Linked DNA regions of Sus scrofa. The protein of the gene in region 1 binds, or shares a complex with, the protein of each later gene. Links are inferred from orthologs where the notes say so. Each region holds a gene or a part of one and is shown in the gene's direction. Other genes may lie near its edges.

The links.
Region 2: E3 SUMO-protein ligase RanBP2 (region 1) and NUP153 share a complex: the UniProt entries of both Homo sapiens proteins name them as parts of the nuclear pore complex. The link is inferred for Sus scrofa from reciprocal best matches to the Homo sapiens genes RANBP2 and NUP153.
Region 3: E3 SUMO-protein ligase RanBP2 (region 1) and CETN3 share a complex: the UniProt entries of both Homo sapiens proteins name them as parts of the nuclear pore complex. The link is inferred for Sus scrofa from reciprocal best matches to the Homo sapiens genes RANBP2 and CETN3.
Region 4: E3 SUMO-protein ligase RanBP2 (region 1) and NUP188 share a complex: the UniProt entries of both Homo sapiens proteins name them as parts of the nuclear pore complex. The link is inferred for Sus scrofa from reciprocal best matches to the Homo sapiens genes RANBP2 and NUP188.
Region 5: E3 SUMO-protein ligase RanBP2 (region 1) and NUP214 share a complex: the UniProt entries of both Homo sapiens proteins name them as parts of the nuclear pore complex. The link is inferred for Sus scrofa from reciprocal best matches to the Homo sapiens genes RANBP2 and NUP214.
Region 6: E3 SUMO-protein ligase RanBP2 (region 1) and NUP160 share a complex: the UniProt entries of both Homo sapiens proteins name them as parts of the nuclear pore complex. The link is inferred for Sus scrofa from reciprocal best matches to the Homo sapiens genes RANBP2 and NUP160.
Region 7: E3 SUMO-protein ligase RanBP2 (region 1) and NUP205 share a complex: the UniProt entries of both Homo sapiens proteins name them as parts of the nuclear pore complex. The link is inferred for Sus scrofa from reciprocal best matches to the Homo sapiens genes RANBP2 and NUP205.

Annotation. Positions count from the first base shown.
Region 1 is NC_010445.4:47,598,495-47,602,933, reverse strand, and holds the start of E3 SUMO-protein ligase RanBP2, read left to right. Parts: upstream 1-1,605; 5' UTR 1,606-1,713; coding exon 1,714-1,785; intron 1,786-4,439. UniProt on the Homo sapiens protein: E3 SUMO-protein ligase which facilitates SUMO1 and SUMO2 conjugation by UBE2I. Involved in transport factor (Ran-GTP, karyopherin)-mediated protein import via the F-G repeat-containing domain which acts as a docking site for substrates.
Region 2 is NC_010449.5:13,410,873-13,414,780, reverse strand, and holds part of NUP153 (nuclear pore complex protein Nup153), read left to right. Parts: intron 1-2,057; coding exon 2,058-2,252; intron 2,253-3,908. UniProt on the Homo sapiens protein: Component of the nuclear pore complex (NPC), a complex required for the trafficking across the nuclear envelope. Functions as a scaffolding element in the nuclear phase of the NPC essential for normal nucleocytoplasmic transport of proteins and mRNAs.
Region 3 is NC_010444.4:97,579,783-97,583,690, reverse strand, and holds part of CETN3 (centrin-3), read left to right. Parts: intron 1-582; coding exon 583-774; intron 775-3,908. UniProt on the Homo sapiens protein: Plays a fundamental role in microtubule-organizing center structure and function. As a component of the TREX-2 complex, involved in the export of mRNAs to the cytoplasm through the nuclear pores.
Region 4 is NC_010443.5:269,257,985-269,262,344, forward strand, and holds the start of NUP188 (nucleoporin NUP188 homolog), read left to right. Parts: upstream 1-1,511; 5' UTR 1,512-1,578; coding exon 1,579-1,610; intron 1,611-4,360. Other genes in the region: DOLK (dolichol kinase), read right to left, coding at 1-1,172. UniProt on the Homo sapiens protein: Component of the nuclear pore complex (NPC), a complex required for the trafficking across the nuclear envelope. Required for proper protein transport into the nucleus.
Region 5 is NC_010443.5:271,106,702-271,110,609, forward strand, and holds part of NUP214 (nuclear pore complex protein Nup214), read left to right. Parts: intron 1-427; coding exon 428-623; intron 624-1,489; coding exon 1,490-1,641; intron 1,642-2,413; coding exon 2,414-2,612; intron 2,613-3,793; coding exon 3,794-3,864; intron 3,865-3,908. UniProt on the Homo sapiens protein: Part of the nuclear pore complex. Has a critical role in nucleocytoplasmic transport.
Region 6 is NC_010444.4:14,867,254-14,871,161, forward strand, and holds part of NUP160 (nuclear pore complex protein Nup160), read left to right. Parts: intron 1-652; coding exon 653-780; intron 781-865; coding exon 866-1,026; intron 1,027-3,139; coding exon 3,140-3,273; intron 3,274-3,908. UniProt on the Homo sapiens protein: Functions as a component of the nuclear pore complex (NPC). Involved in poly(A)+ RNA transport.
Region 7 is NC_010460.4:13,718,593-13,722,500, reverse strand, and holds part of NUP205 (nuclear pore complex protein Nup205), read left to right. Parts: intron 1-394; coding exon 395-586; intron 587-1,666; coding exon 1,667-1,934; intron 1,935-2,030; coding exon 2,031-2,129; intron 2,130-3,908. UniProt on the Homo sapiens protein: Plays a role in the nuclear pore complex (NPC) assembly and/or maintenance. May anchor NUP62 and other nucleoporins, but not NUP153 and TPR, to the NPC.

The DNA of each region.
Region 1 (4,439 bases):
CAGCAGATTAAAAGTAGTCATTTTACTAGGTGTGCTTGGGAAAATTGCTTGACCATTCACGCCCTTTGTTTCTTTATAGGTCAATTTATGCACAATAATAAGAGTAACTTCACGAAATTGCTGGGAGAATCAAATGAAATTCACTTGCAAGTAAGCTTTGGCTATTATCACCAACACTGTCCACAAGGCTTATGACAGCCAAGTTGCCACAGAACCCAGTCCTACGACTTCACCTGCAGGCTGGGCATCTCCACTTGAATACACAAATGGAAACTCAGGTGAAATAAATCAACACCTAAAGTGAGATATTCCATCCAGGACCAGTTTTCTTTACACTGTACTTCCGTTAATTATGCCAATCCCAGTAGCAACCTCACAATTGATCCTGAACCCAGTTCCCTCTGCTTACAGCTCAACAGGCCAGTACATCGGGATACTGAGGCCAGGAATAATGACTTTAATTGGAAAGCCGGCAGACTAGTGTCTCAAAAAAACCATCTTGCCTTTCTCTGAATTCAGGTTCCTTTTGTACAGAGAAAGGGGAGGGGGAGAGGCCAGTGGTCACTCACCAATGGTCCCTTGCTTGGGGGAAAGGCCCACTGCAATGCTGACCTGAGGCTGAGCAGGACCACTAAAGTTCACCCACTAACAGTGGCTTGTTTACAGAATCATTCCTGCCTTAGTACTCTTATTCATATCCAAAATGACTGAAATGAAATAGGACGGGCTGATTTTCCCTCTTTACAGAGGCAGTAATTGGTCATTGCCAAGTTTGGAAAATGGGAGTTCCCATTGTGGCCCAGCAGTAACAAATCTGGCTAGTATCACAAATACCATGAGGGCTCCGGTTAGATCCCTGGCCCTGCTCTGTGGGTGTTGCCTGAGCTGTGGTGTAGGCTGGCAGCTGGAGCTCGGATTTGACCCCTGGCCTGGGAAGTTCCATACGCCGCAGGTGAGGCCCATAAAAAGCCAAAAAAAAAAAAAAAAAAAAAAAGAAGGAAGTTTGGAAAATGGAAAAATAAAAAAGGATAGATTCTAAGTGGCCAGGCGACTTTTAAGTGTTGGATAAAACCATAAAGTCTATAAGCAAAAAATAAAAATAAACCATAACTATAAATTCTAAACTCCCTGTATACACTGATGTGATCTGCTGAAATCTGAAACCTACTGAAAACACCTTATTTTTGCTTTGTAAGGCTACACCCAAGGAATACTGAAATTCCCAGGATAGGTGCTGAATCAGAGCTGTAGCTGCCCGCCTACACCATGGCCACAGCAACGCGGCATCCTTGTACCATTGAGCTAGGGCAGGGATCGAACCGGAGCCCTCATGAATATTGGTCGGGCTCTTTTCTATGGAAGCACAACAGGAGCTCCGGAAGACGCTTTCTAAACGCCTACGACTGGCGCCGAGGTGTGACTGTTAGGAACGTCCGTGGGTTGGACCAGTCCCCGTCGCCTCGTTGTCACTACGTCACCTTCGCATTCCCGCGCACCTCGCTAGCATAGTCACCACCGAACGCCGGCGCCCGAGGGCCTGCGCGGCGCACAGTGATGACGCAACACGCACGTACGCACGCATGCACGCACGCGTGTCTGCCCCTCGCCGGCTACGGAGCTGCGTCACGGACCTTCGGGCGCCGAGCTCCTGAGACGGCGGCAGCTGCGGCCTCGGCGCTGGCGTCCCTCGCGCGGACCCCGCTCGGCGGCGCGATGCGGCGTAGCAAGGCGGACGTGGAGCGGTACATCGCCTCAGTGCAGGGCTCCGCTCCGTCGCCCCGAGAGGTGAGCGGGATGGGCGCGCGGCCTCCGGGCGGGCCGCGGCGCCATGGCTCCCACTGAGGCGCGGCCGGCGCGCGGGGGGCGGGGAGGCGGCGGGCGGGCGTTGGCGCGGCGCTCCCTTCTGCTTTTCCTTCTCCTTCTCTTCCTCTTCGTCCTCTACGGCGCCCGGCCGGCCCCGCTGTGCCCACTGCCCGGGCTCCACGCCGAGGCGCTGCCGCTTCGGCGCGGCCGCCTCGCCATCCCTCACACTCTGCATTGGAAGCTGCTTTTGCCGACTTTCGTTTTCCCGCTGGGTCGCGGGGGTTCTGAGTTCCTTCCCGGGCCTTATTGCTGGGGTAGACGTAGATGTCTCTTAGGGTACTTCCCCTTGTTCCCACGTAGGGAGTTGGCCACATCGTGGATCCGACCGGACGTGGTGCCTAGAGGGGACGGGGACGGGGACGGCGAGTAGGGGGTGGGCGCAGGATCCCGAGTCACTTCCCTGGGGTGGAGTCATAGCTATGCTGGACACAGGCTGTGGGATTTGAAGCAAGTTCTGTTTATTTCGTTAATAGGGCGGAATCAGGCTACTGATAGGAGTTTTTAGTATGTCCCGTGTTAAACATTAACGGAAGTGTTTAGCGCATTAAGTGCTCGCAGTAGATATGGGTGTTAAAGTACAGTCATTTAAGGTGTTCCGGGTAGGGGAACTTCCATATGCTGCGGGCCTGGCTCTTAAAAATAAATAAATAAATACATAAAAATGGAAAAGAAAGGTGTTTTTTTTTTTTTTTTTTTAGTGCCATCTTGACAGTTGTGTATTGCTGTTGTCATAAACTTCCTCTGTCTTTCAAATTATGAATTCGTGGGAGGTCCCTGGTAGCCTAGTGGTTAAGGATCTGGTGTCACTGCTGTGGTTCAGGGTCAGTCTCTAGCCCAGGAACTCGCGCATGCCGCGAGGATCAACGCAGGATCCAAGCCACATCTGCAACCCACACCGCAGCTCACTATACCGCAGCTCATTTAAAAAAAAAAAGTATGAATTTGTGGGTTGGGGAAGAAAGGCTCTGTATATTCAATTCTGGTGTATTCCTCTTTTTGCTTTTTATTTATTTAGTCTTTTTAGGGCCGCATCTGCGGCATATGGAGGTTCCCAAGCTAGGGTCCAATCGGAGCTGTACCTGCCAGCCTAGCCAGAGCCACAGCAACGCCAAATCCCACCACGTCTGCGACCTACACCACAGCTCCCGGCAACTCCAGATCCTCAACCCATTGAGTAAGGCCAGGGATCAAACCCTCAACCTCATGGTTCTTTGCTTTTTAAAATCGTTTCTTGCTAACTACAGTTCTATCCTTCTTGACCTGTTTTTCTCGGGTGTTTAAGATTCCTGAATGAAGGTTAAGACTGTCTGTAGTTCGAGTACATACTATTAAGGCTGTACAGTAAATACTGTCATAATAACATTATGTGGAATTATTTCTTAGGTGTATGTCACTGTTTTGACATAAAATTAGAACATACATATATTTTTTGTTTTGTTTCATTTTTAGGGCCACACCTGTGGCACATGGAAGTTCCCAGGCTAGGGGTTGAATCAGAGCTGCAGCTGCTGGGCTACACCACAGCCAAGCAGGATCCAAGCCGCATCTTCGACCTACACCGCAGCTCACTACCCTGCAGCTCACAGCAATGACTGATCCTTAACCCACTGAGCAGGGCCAGAGTTCAAACCCACATCCTCATGGATACTAGTTGGATTTGTTATCACTGAGCCACATGGGAACTCCTAAAATTAAAGTATATTTTCATCAGCTTTATTGAGGAGTAATTTACATGCCATACAACTCATCATTCAAAATGTACAGTTTAGGAGTTCCCATCATGGTGCAGCGGAAACGAATCCGGCTAGGAACCACGAGGTTGCGGGTTTGATCCCTGGCCTCTCTCAGTGGGTTAAGGATCTGGTGTTGCTGGGAGCTGTGGTGTAGGTTGCAGACATGGCTTGGATCTGGCATTGCTGTGGCTCTGTTGTAGGCCAGAGGCTACAGCTCTGATTCAACCCCTAGCCTGGGAATCTCCGTATGCCTCAGGTGCGGCCCTAAAAAGAAAAAAAAAAAAGTACAGTGTAATGAGTTTTGGTACATTATATTGTTGATGTTTTAAATTATGGTAAACCAGGTGTAACAAAATTTGCCCATTTTAACTACTTTTACGTGTGTAATTCGGTAGTGTTAATTGCACAGGTAATGTGCCACTTTCACTACTATTTCCAAAATTTTTCATCACCACAAACAGAAACTTTGTAACTCTTGAGTGATAACTCCCTAGGTTCCTCTTCTCCCTAACTAACCCCCGGTTACATTTAATTTACTTCTGTATGAATTTGCCTATTTTATTTTATTTTGTTTTATGTTTTTGCTTTTTAGGGCTGCACCCACGGCAAATGGAGGTTCCCAGGCTAGGGGTCAAATCAAAGGTACAACTGCCAGCTTACGCCAGAGCACAGCAGTGCCAGAAGCGAGCCGCGTCTGCAACCTGCACCACAGCTCATAGCAATGCTGGATCCTTAACCCACTGATCAAGGCCATGGATCAAACCCATGTCTTCATGGATACTAGTTGGGTTTGTTAACCACTGAGCTACGACAGGAACTCCCCATCACCATCTATTGAAGAGA
Region 2 (3,908 bases), on another chromosome or scaffold:
TCATATATATATGAAAAAACTTCCACTTCATCCTTTAGCTGAACCACCATTATAAGCAGAAAATGATCTGGTCAAACTTGTAATTTTGGTAAATCACTCGGTGGCTTTTTGGAGGATAGATTTGAAGGCAACAAAATTTGGAGACCAGAGGACAGATTAGGAAGTTATATCAGTTATATAGGTCAAGATCCTAGTGATGTGTACTAGTGGAATCAAATAAGGATTAGAGGGGGCCGTAGAATAATGTGCAGTTGGAGACATGGTTGCTTTCAAGCTGCTAAAGTTGACAGATAGGTGTGAAGCCTTTGGTTACACTGACGCTGGACCCTCTGGGCTGGAGATACAGATCCGGGAGGACTTAGCCCAGAATTTTCAAGTCAGTCATGGGCGTAGAGGTGATGTGAGGTGAATGAGCAGAGCAAATAGACAGCCTAAAACAGAACTCTGCTAACTTAAGGGAGTAGCAGGAATAAAACTTTGGAACAGTTAATCTTTTAAAGGAGTAACCAGAGAGGAAAATCAAAAACCACACGGTACTGGTGCTTTTTAGAGGATGGATTTCAAGGGAACAAAAAGAACCTGACGTAGTGTGCGTGAGGATGTGGGTTTGATCCCTGGCCTCCCTCCGTGGGTTAAGGATCCGGCGTTGCCACAAGCTGCGGGGTGGGTCACAGATGTGGCTCAGATCCAGTGTTTCTGTGGCTGTGGTGTAGGCCCATAGCCACAGCTCCAAATCAACCCCTTGCCTGGGAACGTCCATGTGCCACAAGCGCCACCCTAAAAAAAAAAGAAAAGAAACAAAAAACAGGGCTATTAAGCAAGAGGTGAGGGAGCTCAAACCAAAATAGCAGGAGAAGGGTCAGAAAAAGAATGAAATGTATTGAATGTGTAAGGGTAAGGGAAGAGTTGCCATCTAGCCAGGGTAACCAGGGGGATAGTGGAACCACCGACAAGAGGACAGCACGGGGAGGAAACCTGAAGAGTGGGTGGCAGGTCCAGATCAGAAGATGGTTTTGTTTGGTGATTAAAATGTTCGGAGTCGAGGAGAGCTTGTGAGAAGGGCAGTGGACCAAAGATGGAACGATTTTATTGGCAGGATGGAAAAGAACATACCAGTAAACGGCAGATCAGGTAACTGGGAAAAGTGACGACAGTTGGAGAACATTTAGAGAAGTGGGGGCACCAGAATGAATGGCTCCGCTCTCGACACTATTTCTTCATGCACCTGCGCCTCGCTGAGCCATCCTTCCTGTGCTGCCGCCTCTCCCCCACAGTTGCTAGTTCTGCTTAAAAATGTAAATATCAGCTCTGTGACTCCTTCTCCTGTCCTGTAGTCCTTTCCTCTTTGTCCTCTTGTTTAGATCATGTGTTACTCTTTGTCCGTAATGGTGCTACTGTGCATTTATGTTTGTTTTACTTCCCCCTTTTTAGACCATGAGCACCTTTAGAAGTTAAGCAACATCTTGTTCATCTTGCTCTCCGCCCCCAGAACCTAAGAACGTTATGGTGCTTATTAATTCATGTCTGTTAGATAGCTGCTTTATAACAAATGCTGTGGACGGTAGTCAGTAGTATCGAGTTGAATTGCAGAGTGGCCAGTAGAACATTTCTATGCAAAATTGTCATTTCAAAGCAGAGCCCTGTCCTTGGCAATCTTGAAATGAATGTGGTCTAGGCTCTGTATTTTATGTTTTAGACTGTTGCCTACAGTTTGGAACTTACATTGTATAATGCTGTGAAATTTGATAATGAATCTTAAGGAGAATTGAGTCTTTTAGGCTCTGAAATATGAGCATGATTTTTAAAAATCCTGGCTCTTCATAATTGGGGTTAAGAGGGAGCTCATCATTGCACAAGGTTTGTGAGTTGCTCATTTATAAGATTAAAAGAAATCTGAGATGTCTGTATTGTTTTTAACAATGTAATGTTTAGACTTCTGGCATTTTCTCTATCTTAATAAACTCTAATAAGAATGGAAATTAAGACTTGGTGGTGTCACTGAGATATTGACATGATGTAAATTAGGAATTTTCCTGTATTTCTCCATTATTTTTTAGGAAGTTCAGTACCTGCTTCAAGTAGCAGCACTGTCCCTGTCTCTGTGTTGTCTGGAGGCTCCCTAGGATTGGACAAGTTTAAGAAACCTGAGGGAAACTGGAACTGTGATGTGTGCCTAGTGGAGAATAAAGCAGATTCCACCAAATGTATAGCATGCGAAAGTGCAAAACCAGGCACCAAGTCTGAGTTTAAAGGTAAGGTCTTAGTAAAGCACTTTTTTATGTTACAACTTTAAAATGAAATATAGGTAAACAGTTTTGGTTTTAAAATGATTTGTTCTTTATTGAAAATCCATGTAAAATGAGGAGTTCCTGCCATGGCTCAGCGCTAACGAACCAGACTAATAACCATGAGGACGCCGGACACGAGGATGCAGGTTCGATCCCTGGCCTCGATCAGTGGGTTTATGATCCGGTGTTGCTGTGAGCTGTGGTGTAGGTCGAAGACACAGCTTGGATCTTGCTATGGCTGAGGAGTAGGCCGGCAGCTACAGTTCCAATTTGACCCTTAACGAGGCCCTAAAAGGACAAAAAAAAAAAAAAAATCCATGTAAAAAGAGGTATTGTCCTGGACCTTAGCTCCTATCTCTAAATTACTATAAAAACCAATCATTTGCTGGTTAGCAGTAAAGATAAGTATATTTTCTATTCATTTTCATTTTAGAAGGAAGATGCTGGTTGTACCCACTGAATTAATTGCGTGACTGATGGGGTACAGCTGGCTTAGAAAATGCTGCATTTGGATTTCCTATTGTAGTGCAGCTCAAACGAATCCAACCGGGTACCATGAGGTTGTGGGTTTGATCCCTGGCCTCGTTCAGTGGGTTAAGTAAGGATCTGGCGTTGCCATGAGCTGTGGTGTAGATGGCAGACATGGCTCCGAACTGGTGTTGCTGTGGCTGTGGTGTAGGCCGGCAGCTATAGCTCCGATTAGACCCCTAGCCTGGGAAGCGCCATATGCCGTGGGTACAGCCCTAAAAAGATAAAGACAAAAAAAAAGAAAAAGAAAACGCTGCATTTGGGTTTTAGCAGAGCGCTAAAGCTCCTTCTGTAGCTGTTAGCTCAGGTCCCTTTCCCATGTTCCCGCCTGTAAATACAGTAATTACCATACCGTTAAATCCTCCTTTTGAGACAGAGGTGATAACTAGTTAAGATGTCTTTGGCACCTTGATTTTTAGCTTTCTGTCTGATATCATTTAAGGTATTTTAGAGACCATGTGGGTGGCCAGTTGCTCCTGAAATTCTGACATAATTTTTCAAATAAATTTCTTAGGGAAAAGAAAGTGAGGTAGGTAATGGCTGTCACTATCTTTATTTATACCTGGGGGAGCAGAGTGATGGATCAGTAGCTTGGCACTGTTTAATGATTTCTGTGTTGAGCTGGTCATTTAGGTGCTTCATTTCTGGTTTATTCCACTAAAGAAGCATTCCGAAACCAAGGTACTGATCTTGTCAGAATAGTATTTTTATCTTTTAAAATATTGTTTCCACTCCTAAAATTCTGGTCCTTTTTTTTTTTTTTTTAATTTTAGGGCTGCACCTGCGCCACATGGAAGTTCTCAGGCTAGGGGTCCAATTGGAGCTGTAGCCACCAGCCTACGCTAGAGCCACAGCAACATGGAATTTGAGCTGCATCTGCAACCTACACCACAGCTCACGGCAACGCTGGATCCAGGGATTCAACCCGAGACTTCATGGATGCTAGTTGGGTTCATTAACCACTGAGCCATGACGGGAACTCCTAATTCTGCTTCTTTGAAGTGAAAAAAAAAAAAAAAAAATTTTTTTTTTTTTTTTTTTTTTTTTTGGTCTTTTTCTAGCCTTTTCTAGGGCTGCTCCCGCGGCATATGG
Region 3 (3,908 bases), on another chromosome or scaffold:
TTTATAACTGCTTTTGGGAAACCAAGAGGTTCTTCTAATCATGAAGATACCAGTGGAATTTTCATCTATTGTCTAAGAGTGTGTCTGTATCAATGATGGTAGTTACTTTGTTAATTTGTCACAGGTGTTTTCTTTTAAATTTGAGGAACAGCCAATATTACTATTAAGCAAACAACTTTTACCTAGTTGGTTTTTATTGTTTGATTTTTATAACATCTCTGCAACTCATTTCTAAACTCCTAGGCTTGTGTTTCTGATGCTAATGTAGCCTAGTACAATTCTTGATAATAGTAGATCTTAAATAAATATGGTACATAGTTTTAAAATTTTTGCTTCTGTGATACAGTTATGTTTATCTTATAATGGGATAAATTGTTAATAATATAAAGGTTAAATTTTAATATATTGATTTGGTCTTTATAATTTTATCTCTGGAGCTTTGGGCTCCAGTATGGCATTTTTATTGTCAAACTAAATATTGACACATTCACAGCTTTAATTCTTATCTAATACTTAGTTGATTTCACAAATGAGTGCTATAGTGACTATAAAGTTTTGGTTTTCACCTTTTTTTAACTATAGTGACAGACTGGATATTGGAAAGAGATCCACATGAAGAAATATTGAAGGCATTTAAATTATTTGATGATGATGATTCAGGTAAAATAAGCTTGAGGAATTTGCGACGTGTTGCCAGAGAATTGGGTGAAAACATGAGTGATGAAGAACTTCGGGCTATGATAGAAGAATTTGATAAAGATGGTGATGGAGAAAGTAAGTTTCAAGTAAAACATATATTCCAAATATTCCTAATATATGCATATAGTAAATTTTTCTAAAACCAAATTATTTTCAAGATTCTTTGCAAACTATTTAATGTAAATGTCGTTTATCCTGTAATGGGCTTTTTGTATAAATACTACTATAAATACTACACGTACTCAGTTTAGAGTGAAGCAGACCTTTAAAACCTACTGTGTAGATTATAATATGAAGTTCCATACTTTAAGAAAGTACTTTTCTTTGAGGATGAAATATCTCCAAAATTTCAGCCACTCAGTAAAATTTCAGCTTTAATACCTTCTTCCTCAAGCTGCATGTGCATCTAAATTGTAACTAAGTTCTTTGCATCTACCTTTCAGAGTTTTTGAATCTGTTTTATTTCTTTATTGCTGCTGTCCTAACTTAGGCTCTGATTTCTTTGTTGGAATGTTATCATAGTTTCATTTGTTTTTTCCTTTTTTTGTGTGTGTGTGTGTCTTTTTAGGGCCACACCTGTAGCATGTGGAGATTCCTAGGCTAGGGGTTGAGTTGTAGCTGTAACTGCTGGCCTGTGCCACAGCCACAGCAATGGGAAATCGGAGCCGTGTCTGCGACCTACACCACAGCTCATGGCAATGCCAGACAATCCTTAACCCACTGATTGAGGCCAGGGGTTGAACCTGCGTCCTCATAGATACTAGTCAGATTCGTTTCTGCTGATCCATGGCAGGAACTCTTATTTTCTTGAATGCCTGCTGCGTACACTGTTCTGTTTGTTAACTGATGCTACCCAGTGACAAAGGCTTATGTTGTCCCTGCTCTGCACTCTATGCCTGTAAGCCTCTACTCTCTTACTAATTTATTCTAAAGCATTTTTTTCCCTAAAATACAGTTTTAGTGATTTCATTTTCCTGTTCTAATGCTTAAAATGATTACTCAGTGCCTACAGAGTAAAATCCAAAGCCTTCTGTGATCTGTCCTACCATAAGTATCTAGTTTTATTCCCCACATTATTTTTCTGCTTTCTACTTTAACCCTCGCCTCCATATAGTATGCACACTGTCACAGAATACACTCTATCCTGTCTTTTTATGTTTTGCCTTTCATGCTATTCTTTAATCCTAGAATGTTCTGTTTGCCAATTTGTTGGCTAAAATGTACATTCTGAGGTTCTTTTTAAACTCTGTTTTTTTTTTTTTTTTCCTCAAAATCCTCTCTCAGTGATCTCTGTTTAAAAATTATGAGAGCCCATTGAGGGCCCATAGCATTTAGAGAAACAAGCTATTTTGACACTTCTATATTCTGCCTTCTCTTAGGTATATACATGTGTGTCTCTCCAGTAATATTGTGAGCCTGTAAAGGGCAGACAATCATATAATGTGAAAGACCTAAGGTTTTGGACTCAGGCAGACCTGGATTTGCATTGAATCTCTACCACTTACTTAATTGCCCTAATTTTGTGCAAGTTTTCTGAGTCTCATTTTTCCTATTTATATCAATAAGAATGGTAATACCTTCCAGGATGGTTATGGGCATTAAATGAAAATAATTGAAGATACCTAGCTTTATTTTTATTTATTTATTTATTTATTTTTTGTCTTTTGTCTTTTTAGGACTGCACCTGCAGCACATGGAGGTTCCCAGGCTAGGGGTCTAATTGGAGCTGTAGCTGCTGGTCTACGCCATAGCCACAGCAATGCCAGATCCGAGCTGCGTCTGTGACCTACACCACAACTCACGGCAAGGCCACACCTTTAACCCACTGAGCGAGGCCAGGATAGAAACCTAGTCAGATTCGTTTCCACTGCGCCACGACAGGAACTCCAGAAGATGCCTAGCTTTAAATACAAGCTTATTTTCCTTTTTTTCCATCTTTGTAGTCTTCATTTTTTTTTAACATGGTGAGTACTTTGATGTTTGCCGACTTAAGCAGCAAGCAGGAGTGTGTGTTACAGGAGATACATGTTGATATAGTCCTAACTATATATTTTTACTTATATTATCTTGAAAATACTGTCATGCTTTAATAAGGAGATAAGACTGTAGCAACTAGTTATCAGTTTAGGTTTGTAGATTGTCCATTAGAATTGTGCTCTATTGTGCTTTCTCATATTTATGTGACTATTATTTAAGCATTATACAACATTTCTTTTTCTGATGCTAGCTCTATGAAGAGTACTGATATAGTTACTTATATTTTAAAACAGAAATGATTAAAACTTGAGAAAATTTAAAGGATTTATTTAGCTGTTATTCTAATATTTGGACTTTGCATCCACTGCCTTCATATTTAAAAAATTCTTGTATCCTCCCTAGCTGTTGATTATTACCCTAAATTAGCTTTAAAGGAGTCCTTTATGTAAAAGTACTTTCTTCAGTGGTAGAGCAAATCATGGTATGTCTATTTTCTAAATCTTTAATAATAGCTACTATGCGTGTCAGAAGATCAGAGTTATAAAGTTTCTTTTTCCTGTAGGAGGCACATGCAATACAGATTTTAGTTATTAGCTTCATTTGATATTAGTAGAAAATATCAATTAGGAAGCTGCTCTTAAATTCAAACTTGATATGAGTGTTTGCTTAGACAATGTGTCCATTTCTTGTATTCCTTGTTAGACTGCTCTACCTACTGTTGCTTTAGAGTCTGAGTTCACACCTGTGCTCCATTGCTAGAAAATTTTATTTTAGTGGATCCTTAAAACATTTCTTCAATCTTCACTGCTTGTCTTACTCTGCTTTAAGTCACTGTACAACTATTGCTTGGCAATCCTCCTGTCCTTTATTCAAATGACTAAGAGGCAAATAACATTTTTTTCTCCTTTTTTCCCTAGTGGTTGATTACAAATAAAATCTACCTGACACATAATCTTTTATTGTTAAGATACATGTTTTTGTGGAGGAGAAGAGAGTGGGTCATATCATATTAAAATAGCCTAAGTTTGTAGTTTCCAAGACAGGGTGTGGGTGTCTAGGGGTGGGGACCTTCTGAAGTATTGCACAGGGCTGGGAGTTCATGTATGCATCAAATATTGTCTGTAGACCTTATGAATAATAGTATTGATGTACATGCATATTTAAGCTGTTATTTTTCAGTTATTTATCTAAATGCTATTGTGATTGATAAATACACTTATTGTGTAAAATTT
Region 4 (4,360 bases), on another chromosome or scaffold:
AGGCTCCGAAGCGTGTGGCCCAGGGGCTTGATGCGGAAGTAGCGCACGTACTCCAGGAAGATGAAGACCGCCAGACACACGGTGGCGGCCACGTAGAGCAGTGGCCGGTCAAAGATGATACCTGGGATGTAGGTGGCTACCACAATGAAGTGGAAATACTTCCGAGCAATGGTGGGGGCCTGGTGCTTCTTGGACTCAGAAGATGACCGCTTGGCATTCTGGTATAGCACCACCAGGCAGGCCAAGGTGGCCAGCAGAGACCAGTAGGCCAGGAGGTAGACTCGGGTCTCCGTCTGGAAGAGGAACTGAAAAAGCCAGAGCAGGGGATTCCTGCGGATGAGCCGGTGAAGCCAGGGCAGGACCACGCCAAGGCCCAGCACACAGGTCATGAGGTGGAAGAAGATGGAGGAGGCCCAGGTGCCTGAATCCATGAAAACAAAGAGGGTGCTGAAGAAGATGCCCATGAGCACCATCCCTACCACCACCACCAGCAGGAAGAAGTCCAAGGGGTCTCCCTGGCTTTCCACCACAGTCAGAGACCGCTTAATGAGCTGGTTGAGCATGAAGCTGATGCCACCCAATACCAGCAGAGCCTCTCCAGGGGTGAAGCAGCGGGGCAACAGGTACAGCAGGATCATGTTGAGGTAGACGAAGATCAGCAGGACCTCCAGGACCTCTATCACCTCGCCTACACTCAGAGAGTGCTTCATGATATAAATGATGACACCTCCAGCCAAGCCCGAGATGACACAGGTGTTGGTGGGCACCGGGCGAGTGATGCCCAGAGCCAATACTGACGAGAAGAGGGCCACTGCCATGCCAGTGGCCGCCACCACAATTCCAAAGCGCTCAAAGTATGGGTTCCCCGCAGCCTGGCAGCGCTCCTTCATAACCAGTCCGAGCAAAGGCATGACCACCGAAGCGGGCAGGAGGCCACTGTTTGCGGACATTCGGAACTGGAAGACCGCGCTTCCCTGCTGTAGCAGTCGGTCCCACTTGTATTGGACGTAGAAGGCCTGCACGGCGAGGGCCACGGCGCACCACGAGTACCGATCCCACACTGCTGCGTGGATGCTCAGTACCACTATGAACACCACCGCTGCCTCTGCCAGCACGGACCCGCTCAGCGGAGCCCCGGACCCAGAGGCCGGAGGAGCGCACTCTCGGGTCATGTCTCTAGATCTGGGACCCCGGGGAAACCCGGGTGACTGGAGATGCCTTGGATTCTGGGCTCCTCAATCCTCGCCAGGCACAGAGCGGTAGCTTCACCCAGCCAGCACGTTCTCTATCCGCTCTCCTGCTGCCAGAAGGGAAGCGCCACTGAATGATCACTCTGTGCAGGCAAGGAGCTGGCGTCAGGTCACGCTCCAACGTCTCCCACCTCAAGCGTAGGTGTCGCTCCTCCACCGACTCCCTCACTGACTCGACCGCCCTCGCCCGGGAGTCCTCACCGCTCCGGGCCACGCCATGTTGGCCCCGCCCGCCGTCACGTGACGAAAAGCCCCGTCCACGCCCCGGAGGCGAGCGGTCACGTGGGCGCGGCGTCTGGGGGCGGGGCTAGGGCGCGCGCGCGCGAAGATGGCGGCGGCCGCCACCGGGCCGTGTGTGAGGTGCGGAGCGGGCCGAGTCAGCGGGGGTGGCTGTTAGGCGCCGGGTCGAATCCGAGCCGGAAGCGGGGCGGGATTTGAGGGCACGATGTAGCGGCAGTGGCGGGGCGAAGGCCGGCTAGGCGGACGGGCGCCGGGATGGAGGCGGTTACGGCCAAACGGTCTCGGCGCGCGGGCATCTGAAGCGACTTCTCGGAGAGGGGGCCGGTGCCTTACCCCTTCCCTCGGCGCCCGCCTCCGGTCTCCGGTTCCTTTCCCTTCTTCCCCTCTCCCCGTGGCGCGTCCCTCGGCGCCCCCCTCCCGCTTCCTGGCTGGCGTGACGCTCCCTCGAGGCGCGACGGGGCGCTTCGCGGTCGCCCGGGGAGCCCCCACCCCGTCCCCGCCGCAGCCTCCTGGGCCCTTCCCGGCGGCGCTCCCCAGGGTCCCGCATGTGCTCTCCATGGAAGGTCTGTTTCGGGCGTCGCCGAGCCACGTTCCTGCAGTTTCTGCCCTCTTGGGCCGCCCAGCCTTTCATTCATCCATCTATTCATTTTCTCCTGTATTGATTCCGTCAGCGGACACCCCACGCACTGTACTGGGCTTTGGGGACGGGAAGATAAAATACTCAAAAGAAAGAGACAGTTCTTACTTCTGGAGCGATACCAGCGCCGGGCTGGCGAGGCGCGTTCTTTTCCATGGCTTTATCTCCTTGAACTCCCACGACTCCGAGCGGCACCTTGTGTTTTACGGATAGATGACTCATAGACCCAACTCAGAACTGGCGGAGGGGTCCGGTGAGGCTTCGAACAGGCGTGTGTCTGCCTCTGGATCTGTAACCAGATCGCCACACTTCCATCTTCCACTTACAGCTCGAAGCGGCTTCCATTCTCGCGGCCACCCTCCCGGCTAACCGTCCCCTTGTCACTTCTTCCCTGTGCCTGCAGTGTTTCGCTACTTTTTTTGGCTTTTCACTACTACTCAACACTCCGAAGAGCATGGAATAGGCTCTGAGTAAATATTTATGACAAGTATTGCCCTTGTTCTCTGTACGACTTCCTGCGCCTCTCTGCTCAAGTGACTTTTTTTTTTTTTTTTCCATTGTGATGATACTTTTTAATCATGTAAAGTTTCAAGTGAGATTTCTCTTCTCTGGAATTTCCATCGAACTATTTCTGGAGCAGTTTGTGTTTTTCTCCTCCGCTGTTTTTCATGTCAGCTCTTGTATCGGGCAGCATTGTGGTCGCTGTGCTCTCCTTTTTTTAGGCTTGTCTTACAGTCCTTGTGGAGCTTGGGTAAAGGTCAGCTCCTGCAGGGCCAGGCGCGTTCTTCAGTGAAAGAGAGGGCAAGGAGAGGGAAGCGGTTAGTTTGCCTGAAAGATGCTTTCTTCATCCTGGGGGAACCTACCACATTCACACCTGAAAGTGGCAGAAATGACACCTGGGATTTCTAGGCCCTGCTTTGTGCATAGCCTGCTTTAGGAACAATCTTTTCTTTCTTTTTGTGCTGGTCAGCATGTTATAATGATTGGGATTATACTGAACAGCAGCCTTCTGTTTGAAATGCCTAGAAGTCTGAGCTAAGAGAAAACTGAAATTCTGTTCCTGGTGCCTGCTGATTTGCAGATGACCACAGACAGGCCACCTTACCCTTGGAGTCTGTTTCTCCAAATATTAATCCTTTTCAGGGTAATATTGAGGTGATTCTGAAGCTTGTAAGAAGGTGTATGTTAATACGAGTTGGCACTGGTCAAAAGTGGAATAGCAGTACTCTTAAATCACTCACAGTTGGGAGAATCACTGAGGGTTTGGCAGAAAGCTCGAATATTGGCATTTGGGGTTATCTCTTGTGTTCTAAAGTTAATGGGTGCGAGAAAACAGCTGTGGTTTGAAAGCATGCTGCCTAGCTTAAATTTCAGTTCACGAAGGAGAGGTGTGCTTCTGTGGAGTCAGCATCCATGGGCGGTGGCAACTTTTATTCATTTTTTCCACGTGGAGTAGTTAACTGTGTTTCTCAAAAGGATTATCTCAGAGTAGGTTGGCTGTGTCTCAGTCTTTCTATCAAAAGGACACAATTATTAATAAAGGACTGTTGTTATTTTTGGCCATGCAGCATGTGGAAGTTCCCAGGATAGGGAGCGAACCCTGGCCACAGCAGTAACCAGAGCCACCAGGGGAACTCAGACTATTTCTCATCTAGTTGCTTTCATCCAAAAGTTTCCAACCACATGAATCTCTCTAAGGAAGATAATTTCTAGTTTCAATTAATTCCCATTCTTTTAGGAATGGAATTCCTTGTTCGCTAGAATATTGGACTGGAAGTCAATAATTTTTTTTTTTTTTTTTAGGGCTGCACCCATGGCACATGGAGGTTCCCAGGCTAGGGGTCTAATTGGAGCTACAACTGCTGGCCTACGCCAGAGCCACAGCAACACGGGATCCGAGCCGCATCTGCGACCTACACCACAGCTCATGGCAACGCCGGATCCTTAACCCACTGAGCAAGGGCAGGGATCGAACCTGCAACCTTATGGTTACTAGTTGGATTTGTTTCCGTTGCGCCACGATGGGAACTCCCAGTAATTTTTTTTTTTTTAATCTCACCTTTGAGGCAAGCGATTTAATCTCTGTGTCTTAATTTCTCTCCAAAACCCTTAGCTCCCTCGTATTTATTGCACACATAAATGAGAGATATTGTAGCACTTAATTCATTTCTTGAAAACACATAGAGAAGATGTTACCGTGAACCCTGAACGAGCATTCTCATTCCTGCCGTGT
Region 5 (3,908 bases), on another chromosome or scaffold:
TTTGTGGATACAGCCCTAGAAAAGACAAAAAGACAAATAAATAAGCTAGGAATTCAGAAAAGGGAAAGATCAGTGTTCACTGGGTTAGTCAAGAAAAGCTTCATGAGTTTTTAAAAATTTATTTTATTCAATAAATACTAATAAGCACTATGCCAGGTACCACAATGTCATAGGAAGATTAAAAACGCGCAGAGTTCCCTCATGGCTCAGTGGGTTAAGGATCCTGCAGTGGCTCAGGTCCCTGCTGTGGTGTGGGTTTGATCCCTGGCCTAGGAACTTCCACATGCTGCAGGCATGGCCCAAAGAAGACTGAGCTACACAGTACTTAGCCTCAGGGTAACATGTATTTTGTCGTACTGGAATATAGTGACAGGTGATTTAATTTCCTATTTACTTGAATTGATCTTGTTTTGACCCCTCACCACAGGATTTTCAGTTTAGAGCACTGAAGAAGGTGAGAATCTTTGACTCCCCTGAGGAGCTGCCGAAGGAACGCTCAAGTCTACTTGCCGTGTCCAACAAGTATGGCCTGGTCTTTGCCGGTGGAGCCAGTGGGTTGCAGATTTTTCCTACCAAAAATCTTCTTATTCAGAATAAACCTGGCGATGATCCCAATAAGATAGGTAAGTTACTTAATTTATGGTGCATTGTAAAGAGAGGAGTCGTGCAGTGCTAATGCCATTTGCTTCCGAAGAAGTCATCCTCCCAGTACAATTAAAACTGCTGTTAGTCCTGAGATTGACCCCCAGGAAGAGTAAGTTCTGGGTAGGCTGCTGGAAGCTTTTCTGGGAGTTCCGTTTGATTCTTCGTGTATCTCTTTTGATGAGTTGTTCCTTGCTTTTAGTTTTTGCTCAGTTGAACTTGCTCCGGCTTTCTCCCGGAAGAGTTGTGTTGCATGGCTTTTTAGTTGTCATAGGAGCACCATCCAAACAAATGGGAATATGTACTATTTGGAGTGTTGTTACAGAAATTCAGCATGGGACACTATTTTCTTTTTCTTTTTTTGCTTTTTACACTCGCAGCATGTGGAGGTTCCCAGGCTAGGGGTTGAATCAGAGCTGCAGCTGCCAGCCTACACCATGGCCATAGACGGCCAGATCTGAGTTGAGTCTGCGACCTACACCATAGCTCACGGCAACACCGGATCCCTGGCCCACTGAACAGTGCCAGGGATCGAACCCACATCCTCATGGATGCTAGTCAGGTTCATTTCCGCTGAGCCATGATGGGAACTCCAGGACACTATTTTCAACAAGGAGCACAGCCACTGCGAGTTTCCCCAGGTCTTAAGAGGAAGAATCCTAGAATACTTAAAGCATCATTGTACATCTGCAGGACAGCCATGATTTATCTGCACAGCTGGGTATCAGGGTGTGTGCATATGTTTGTGTAGATGCTAAAGTTATTTTACGTCAACTTGAATAGAGGGCTTGTGGCTTATGCTTAGAACACTCCATCTTCTGCTTTGTGGGTTATTTTGTCTTCATAGTTGATAAAGTTCAGAGCCTGCTGGTTCCTATGAAATTCCCGATACATCACCTGGCCCTAAGCTGCGATAACCTCACGCTTTCCGTGTGCATGATGTCCAGTGAATATGGCTCCATTATTGCTTTTTTTGATGTTCGCACCTTTTCAAATGAGGTAAGCTGCTGGCAAACTGTAGGGACCTGGTACTGAATCAGAATCTACAAGTTCTGGGTTGACCTTTGAATCTTTTTCTAGATTAAAGTACGGGTTTTTAAAAGGTCCTTAATTATAGAATCACAGATCTTAGAGATAAAAGTGACCTCAAGAAATTATTTCGGGGGAGTTCCTGTTGTGTGGCTCACCGGGTCATGAACCCGACGAGTATCCATGAGGATGTGGGTTTGATCCCTAGCCTTGCTCAGTGGGTTCAGGATCCGGTGTTGCTGCGGCATAGGCCAGGAGCTGTAGCTCCGATTGGACCCCTAACATGGGAACTTTCATGTGCCGTGGGGTGACCTTAAAAAAAAAATAAAATTCAAGGACCCAATACTGTTAATAAGCAGAGCCCAAGAGTTCCCTGGTGGCACAACAGGTTAAAGATCTGGCATTGTTGCTGTAGCAGCTTGGGTCACTGCTGTGGCTCAGGATCAATCCCTCACCCAAGAACTTGCACAACCAAAAAAAAGAAAAGCCCAGATTTTAGTCTAGTATATACTCTTTATTGTTCTACATGTGTGTATTCCCCTGTTGAGTCTCTCCAAGTATGCTGGAATAATTGCCGTTTTCAAAGTTGTATTAAAATTGTAACAAACACGTTGTGCAGGGCTAAGTATTCTTGTCATGGAGCAGAGTGAACTATAATTGGAGAAAACTTGTGTATTCAATGTTTTTTTTTTTGACTGTTAAATGTCTGTTTATTTTTGTTTCTGGGCATTTGTTTTAAAAGGCTAAGCAGCAGAAACGTCCGTTTGCCTATCACAAGCTCTCGAAAGATGCAGGAGGCATGGTGATTGACATGAAGTGGAACCCTACCGTCGCCTCCATGGTGGCAGTTTGTCTGGCCGATGGCAGCATTGCTGTCCTGCAAGTCACAGAAACCGTGAAAGTGTGTGCCACTCTTCCCTCCACAGTAGGAGTAACATCTGGTGGGTAATGAAGTCTTCTGCTCTGTAACGTGTGGTAGTGGTCATCTATTTAAAAACTAGTTACTGGGGAGTTCCCACTGTGGCTCAGTGGGAACGAAGGCAGCTAGTGTCCATGAGGATGCAGGTTCGACCCCTGGCTCCGCTTTGTGGGTTAAGGATCCGGCGTTGCCGCAAGCTCCGGTGTGGGTCCGGCTTTGGCTCTAGTGTAGGCTGGCACCTGTAGCTCTGATTTGAGCACTAATCTGGGAACTTCCATATGCTGCGGGCAGGGCTGGGAAAAAAAAAAAAAAAAGCGAAAATAAATAATAAGAAAAACAATATTTTATCTTTGTGTGTGTGTGTGTGCGTGCGCTTTTTAGGGCTGCCCCTGCCCTGGCATATGGAGGTTCCTAGGCGAGAGGTCGAATCGGAACTGTAGCCCCTGGCCTGCACCATAGCCACAGCAACATCAGATCCGGGCTGCGTCTTTGACCTACACCACAGCTTACGGCAATGACAGATCCTTAACCCACTGAGCGAGGCCAGGGATTGAACCTGTGTCCTCATGGATGCTAGTCAGATTCGTTTCCAGTGAGCCGCAATAGGAACTCCATCAAAACAAAAAGAGGTGATAGTCCTTTAAAAAAAATTAATTTCTGGGAAAAAAAACCTCAAGTGGGTTTGTTTTGTTGTTTTTGGTAGAAGTGGAGAGAATGTTTCTTATTTTTGTAGTTACTGTCCTTGAAGCGAGACAGCATATGTGATTTAGCTTGAATGTACTTGGGTTTTCTGGAGAAAAAAATATTGTGGTAGAGCTGGTTTAGAACTGTGCTGTTAAGAATAACTGTTTTTCTCTTAAAGAGTCATATTTTGTACCTTCAGGGAAAAAGCATCAGAAAGTACCACGTAGGAGCAAGAGAATGATTTCTTGATGTCGGAAAATCTTCTCTTCTCGTTTTTTCTAGAGTTTTCTGCACTTTACAGTTTTCGGGGCCATGCTGCCCTGAAAAGGCGCTTTTAGCAGCTGATTCAGTGGCCCAGACATAACTCACAATTAGCTTGTGTTGTCAAAATGATTTTCCTTTTTTCACTTCGCCAAGTAAGGGTGATCCCACGGTTTTCCCTGACGTGACAGAGGAACAAGAATTGGTTTTGCTCCATGTTCTTCGGTTTTTAGTGGGTGGCTTCTCTTCTTTCCTCAGTGTGCTGGAGCCCCAAAGGAAAGCAGCTGGCAGTGGGCAAACAGAATGGGACCGTGGTCCAGTATCTTCCTGTAAGTCTTGCCTTGGATTTCAGAACTTTTCCACTCAAGTTACT
Region 6 (3,908 bases), on another chromosome or scaffold:
AGTGCTAAAATCAGGTTTTTAATGTACGTTCAAGTGTGTACAAAGTAGTGGCTTAAAGTTAAAATGAGTTGCTGTGATTCTAAGTAGGTGCTTCAGCTTTTTTTTTTTTTAGGGCCACACCCACTGCACATGGAAATTCCCAGGCTAGGGGTTGAATTGGAGTTGTGGCCACTGGCCTACGCCATAGCCACAGCAGTGCCAGGTCTGAGACGCTTCTGTGGCCTACACCTCTGCTTTGGCAACACCAGATCCTTAACCCATTGAGGCCAGGGATGGAACCCATATCCTCACAGATTCTAGTCGGGTTCTTAATCTGCTGGGACACAACAGGAACTCCAGTGTTGCAGCTTTTAACCAGAAAGTCTCACACATTAACTTGGGTCTGGAAACAGACTCATAAGTTATGGCCTGGCTATTAACTAAGCTGTAAATTTTAAAACATTTTCCTCACATTGATTTTGTTTGTCATTTCTGAAAAATAGAGGGAAAATTAGCTACATGGAATAAAATATGTTGCGTGCTAGCATGATTATCTCCACTCTTTTATTATGTGGTTGGTTTTCCTGTTTCGTAGAGCATTTAGCTTACAGGATGTGTAGAATCTGTCTTATGTGGTCTCAGTAGTAATAGGAGTTTTCTCATTTCCTCATAGAGACAATGTGATGGAGGATATTTGCAGTAAACTGCAAGAGATTCGGAACCCAATCCATGCCATTGGACTTGTTATACGGGAAATGGATTATGAAACAGAAGTGGAAATGGAAAAGGGATTCAATCCAGGTAAATGACAAAACAACAAACATGCCTTTTTCATTTGATTTAGAGAAAACAGTAATCCATTTAACTTTTTCTTTTTGAATTACAGCTCAGCCTTTGAATATTCGAATGAATCTTTCCCAGCTCTATGGTAGTAGCACAGCTGGGTATATTGTGTGCAGAAATGTGTGTAAGATTGCCAGTACTCGCTTCCTCATCTGCCGAGATCTGTTGATCTTACAGCAGCTACTAATGAGGCTGGGAGATGCAGTAAGTACTACTCAGGGGAGAGCTTATGAAATCTAAATCCTCATCGAGACCTATGGGCGCAATAGCAGAATGCCAGCTTTTTGTGCACAGACTTCTGTCTCTGTTCACTGCTCTCTCCCCCAGGCTTGGCCCATAGTGAGTACTCTATAAAATGCATGTCGAATTAAGAATGAGTACGCATAATAACCTACAATTACAGAGTAAGAACATCTATGAAGCAGGTTGTTTTACTCTTAACCTTTGTATGTATAATAGTGAGAAATTTTCCTAGGTCAGCTCTGTGCAGATTTAGGAGGTTTTTTGTTTGTTTGTTTGTTTTGCCACACCTGTGGCATCCGGATGTTCCTGGGCCAGGGATCGAACCTGCAGTGCTGGGTCCTTAACCCACTGAGCCACTAGGGAGCTCCCAAGTTTAGTGTTATTAGTTCAACGTTGGATGTTGGTATAGAAAAGAAAGGAAGAAGAAAAAAACTCTATTTCTGCAGTATAGGATTTACCCTAAGAAGTTTTGAGATGACAGAGTCTGTTTTAGGGATCCTCCCAGCTCCTTTCTGTGCTTCCTTTCCATCCTCTTCTAAGGCCACCAGATTCTTGTTGCCTTCCTCCTGTCCTTTCCCACCCTGCTGAATTCCCCTCCCCCCCCCACCCAGAGGGGGTGCACCGTTCCTGGAAGTACTACAATACCAGATTGATGCGCAGAGTGGATGGAGCAAGCTCCTGTTCCAATTCCTAGCCCCAAAAATCCATTTAATATATTGTCCTCAGATAGAGGACGTATCATATATTAAACTGATAAGAACAGATACTACACTTGATCTTAGCCAACAAGCCAAGTAGCGATGAATGTTTTATGTTCAAAAAAATGTCCCTTTCTGCCCACCAGCAGAAGGCCCATTTGTCTCTCACTCAGTAATTTTATCTGAGCCTCATAAGGAAGCAATCTGATTAAACTAATTCATGTTAATATATAAATAACTGATAGGCTTTTGGAGCCCAAGAGGTATATATACTTTTCAAGTCAGAATATATTTACTCAAATACCTTGCTGGTGGCAGGATTTCAAGTAAAAGTAAGGACAAAATAGGAAGATGATCTGTTTAGGACGACCAGGGAGAAACAGGAACCTTCCTGAGAGTCTCTCACTCAGGGCAGCCCTTGCTTAGTTCTTTTCAGTCTTTGTAGACTCTTCCATTTCTTCAGGTTTGGGTTTTGTTCTGTTTTGTTTTTAATTATAATCTTTGTCAGTGTTTTCTAAACACGAAATAGATATTCATTGTAGAATCTTTATAGGTAATCCTGTATTTATAAACAAAAAGAAAATAAAAATTCATCTGTAACTGTTTAGCCACTATTTACATTTTCGTATATACCCTCATTTTCTCTGCAGATAGTTTCTAAATTTTAATTACAAAATTTGCATATGCCATATATGCATATGCCAATTACGTTTTTGTAATCTGGTTATTTTTATTCCTTTGCTTTACAAATCTCACCAGCACGTTCACGTGTTATCAAGTATTTTTGTACAACATTATTTTTAATAATTGCCTGGTACAATTTTAATTTATTCAACCAATCCTGTGGCCATCCAGGTTGTGGCCAGTTTTCCTCTTATTGATAGAACTTTCTTTACTCCTTTGACTATGTCCCCAGGATGAATTCCAAGAACTAGAATTGATTGGTCCCAAGTTACCCACATGTTTGAGGCTTTGGTGGTCTTATCACATTTTCCTCTGATGGTAATATCTATTTTTACCCAAGACCAGAGGCTTCAGAAAGGACTTAGATTTCCTTATTACCCTTCTTGAGTTCTGGACTTACAGATTTAATGAAAGTTAAGCTTGATGTTGTTGTTGCTCTGTTTCACCATCAGCTCACATGACCTTGTGAGCTTTTTCTGATTGTTTTGTACTGCTATTAGGGTAGATGTTTTTGCCATATGCCGCCCCAAAATGTAATAGGTGTGTTGCTTTTGTGTATGCTTGTAGGTATGTTGCTTTTATGAATGCCCTTTTTAACTGTGTTGTTTTATTTTATCTATACCTAAACCTAAGAATTACCATTGCTAATTGCTGTTTACTGTTTCACCCACCCACCCACCCATCATGTACAGGTGATTTTGGGAGCTGGTCAGCTCTTTCAAGCTCAGCAAGACCTACTACACCGAACAGCTCCCCTACTCTTATCCTATTACCTCATTAAGTGGGGAAGTCAGTGTTTAGCAACTGATGTTCCAGTTGACACACTGTGAGTTTCATTATTCTAATTATTTTTAAAACAAATTGTGAGCGTAATTTATTTTTTCCACTGTCTTAAAGAAAAAAAATCTAAATATTATGCCATAGAGTGATTAGCCTTTAAAACTCAGAGCTTTGAGATATTCCATCTTCCAAAGGCTAAAGGCAACTTATAAGAATGAAAATAGTGTGTTTTTATTATTATATATGTATATAAAATATAAAGACAAATCCTGTCAAAGGCAAAATAATAAGAGGAGGTCACAGGGAAAATTAGACCACATACAAAAACATGTAGTTATTTAAGGTAGGCTGAGATTCTTAACCAAAAAAAAAAAAGAAAAAAATCAATATATAACTGTAAATCTTATATTTCCCTTAGATAAGCCACTTTAGTTTTTTCTGGCAAGGGAAGGCTTTTCATGGCCTTGGGGTCAAGAGAAATTTCTGCTCTGGCTTCTCATTGAAGGATCACTGAATGATACAGGGAACAATCTACACCATGTCTGTTTTTCAGATTTTTTTTTGTGCTTTCAGTGGAGCTTTCCTGTGTAATGTATTAATAAAATTAAAAGTGTTCTTGATTGGATAACTTGTTGGGGTAATGTTTGGCCTAAGAGAACTTAGCTGGGTTTTTTCCCCTTT
Region 7 (3,908 bases), on another chromosome or scaffold:
CTCAGCTGGCTAGGCCAAAGCAAGAGGCAGAGCCATCAACATGCCGTTGAAACTGGGTTTTAGGCAACTAACTCTAGTGCTCCAGAGTAAGATAAGTAAACAGTTAAAAGAAGACAGAATAAGAAACTCATTTCCACCCACATCACTTCTGTCTCCTGCCTTACACACACACACACACACACACACACACACACTACACAGCCTTATGTATTATTTTTCATGCTCCGGCCACCAGTATAACATGAAAAATCATTTGTTGACTGCCATGCATGTGTTTCCTAAGTATACTATATATATTTTCAGTTTAGCTGACAGAATTAAAATTCGGAACCTGTTAGGAAAAGACATTATTTGCCTCTGTGTTAACCTTGCAATTCAATTTCTGCGGCTTTAGGAGATCAGCACTATTCTTCAGTACGTGGTAGGAAGAAACAAATTGCTGCAGTGTCTTCATGCAAAACGGCATGCGCTGGAGTCATGGAGGCAGCTGGTAGAGATCATACTGACAGCTTGTCCCCAGGACCTAATTCAGGCAGAAGATCGACAACTGATTATTCGTGATATTTTACAAGATGTGCATGATAAGGTGGTAACCATGCCTCCTAAATTGTTTTATACAGCCGAATACATATTTATACCATTGAAACATAGTTTGCCACTCCTTTTTTTCCATTTTAGATTGGGAGTAAATAGAGTTGTGCAACACCACTGTTAAGACTTTCCTTGAGAAAGGTCCTAACTTTGTACACTAATCGCTCTCAACCAGAGTGTGTATCAGAATTTTCTAGGGAGCTTTTTAAAAATATACATGACAGGAGTTCCCGTCGTGGCTCAGTGGTTAACGAATCTGACTAGGAACCATGAGGTCGCGGGTTCGATCCCTGGCCTTGCTCAGTGGGTTAAGGATCCGGTGTTGCCGTGAGCTGTGGTGTAGGTTGCAGACGCGGCTTGGATCCCTCGTTGCTGTGGCTCTGGTGTAGGCCAGTGGCTACAGCTCCGATTGGACCCCTAGCCTGGGAACCTCCATATGCCGCAGGAGCAGCCCTAGAAAAAGACAAAAAGACAAAAAAAAAAAAAAAAAAAAAAAAAAAATATATATATATATATATATATATATATATATATATACACATGACAGATTCTACCCTAGACGTGGTGAGACATTATTTTAATTTCCTTAAAAATCTCTAGGGAATTCTGATAGGAATCTCTTCTAGTTAAGAACATGTTACCCAGCAATTTAAATTTCCTTCTGTGGGAGTTCCTGTCGTGGCGCAGTGGTTAACGAATCCGACTAGGAACCAGGACGTTGCGGGTTCAACCCCTGCCCTTGCTCAGTGGGTTAAGGATCCGGCGTTGCTGTGAGCTGTGGTGTAGGTCGCAGACACGGCTCGGATCCCACATTGCTGTGGCTGCGGTGTAGACCAGCAGCCACAGCTCTGATTAGACCCCTAGCCTGGGAACCTCCATGTGCCGCGGGAGCAGCCCAAGAAATAGCAAAAAAAAAAAAAAAAGACAAAAAAAAATAAATTTCCTCCTGTGCATTAGCCTTTATTTTCTTTGAACAATGCAATTCTATTCTTAAGTTCTTATGGTAGTTGAAAAGCTAAATGTATAAGACATGTTCATGACTGTAGCTGAAAGCAGATCCTCTTTCTGCTTTTAGATCCTCGATGATGAAGCCGCACAGGAGTTAATGCCAGTGGTAGCAGGTGCCGTGTTCACCCTGACCGCTCACCTAAGCCAAGCCGTTCGCACAGAACAGAAGCAACCGTTAGTCTTGGGACCTGGAGAGGCCCATTATGCTTTTATGCTTGATAGCTCTTTCACCTCACCTCCGCCAGCGGAGAACCCTGTGGTGGGGTTTGCTTCTATTGGAGATTCTTCACTTCACATCATATTGAAGAAACTCTTAGACTTCATTTTGAAGACAGGTTTTTTCATCTAAATTTTCTATAAATTGCAACTTCTGTATTCGCTATAACTTTAATTTGAAAAAAGGTTTTTACTCTCCTACTCTTTTTTCTTAGGTGGTGGGTTCCAGCGAGTGAGGACACACCTGTATGGCTCTCTGCTGTATTACTTACAGATTGCCCAGAGACCAGATGAACCAGACACCTTAGAAGCAGGTAGAATTAGATTTCTAATCTTTTCTGGTTTTAGGGATTGGTTACTTTAATTTCTTAAAAAAATCACTTTTTCATCAGCTATAATAAATGAGTGTTTATGGAATCATTGAAGTGCTTACTCTAGGAGTTCCCTTTTGGCACAGTAGATTAAGGATCTGGCATTGTCACTGTAGTGGCTCAGGTTGCTGCTGTAGCACAGGTTCAGTCCCTGGCCTGAGAACTTCCACATACTACGGGCACAGCCCCCCGCCCCCCCCAAAAAAGGTGCTTACTCTAAAGTCAAGTGTTCTTAGTTCTAAAATTGTGACAATCGTACAAGACTAATGTGAAAACAAAGCACCCTCAAATATTATTTTTGGTTATATTTTTTTGTAATACTCTCACCTGTGGTCCCATTGAACAATATATATAATACATACCTAGTTGTAACTTTTAAAATTGCTCATTATTCCATAGTATGGAAGTAACATTTAATCATTTGCCTTATTCAGAAGCACTTAATTTGTTTCGAATTTTTTACTGTCACAAAAATTCTGAATCAAGTATTTTATAAGCCCGTATATTTCTCAAAGAAGATACCTCATTTCCATATGAAAGAGTGTGCATATTTTTGCTTTAATAGATTCTACCAAATGGACCTCTACCAGTTTAAACTCTCATCAATAGTGTACATATGTATTTTTGTACTAATGGGAGGTTTTTCTTGGATAGATTACAAGAAATAGAATTTCTTGTTTGAAAGATCTGTGTGTTTAAAATAGTTGTAAATCTGCTATCTAAACTGTAGTTAGCATTTTTAATTAAGAATGATAATGTGAGAGTTCCCATCGTGGAGCAGCAGAAAAGAATCTGACTAAGAACCATGAGGTTGCAGGTTCGATCCTTGGCCACACTCAGTGGGTTAAGGATCCAGTGTTGTCGTGAGCTGTGGTGTAGGTTGCAGATGTGGCTTGGATCCTGCGTTGCTGGCTGTGGTATAGGCCAGCAGCTATGGCTCCGATTTGACCCCTGGCCTGGGAACCTTCATATGCCACAGGTGCAGCCTTAAAAAGCAAAAAAAAAAAAAAAAAAAAAAAGAATAATAATATGGATTCTCCTGTCTCCACATATTGAAAATGTTTTTAACTATTCAAGAGACCAGTTATAGTATTCTCTGCCAGAGTTACTCTTCTATTTAAGAACTTGTAAGCACCATCTCCTTGTCTCTTTCTGAGAACTTTTATGAGCATTTGTTATTTTGTACACAAATTCTTAAAAACCACTTTGTGTGTAAGACTCACATTATCTCATACTATTTTTAACTGGCTATATATTTTTGCATACTATAATCCTTAGAAGGATATATTTATAGAAATGTCCTACCAGCTTAAATAATGCACAAAAATGTTTTTAGGGGCCTTAAAAATAAAAAAGTATTTCAAGAGTTCCCTTGTGGCGCAGTGAGTTAAGGATTTGACATTGTCACTGCAGTGGCTCAGGATGCTGCTATGCTGCTGTGGCACGGGTTTAATCCCTGGCCCTGGAACTTCCACATGCTGTGGGTGTGGCCCCCCCCCCCACAAAAGAAAGAGTAATTCAGAGGAACTTTTTAAACAAATAGGAGGTTGTTATTTTTTTTTTTAAGAGAGTATTGGGGATTTCACTCCCTACTCTCTTCTGCCGACACACCTCCCCTATTTTCCTCTTGACGAAAACAATTTAATATTGTATTTAGTTGAATTGAAAAAAAAACACCACTTAACCACTAGGTGGAGCTCTGCATGGTGTGTAGAACTCATT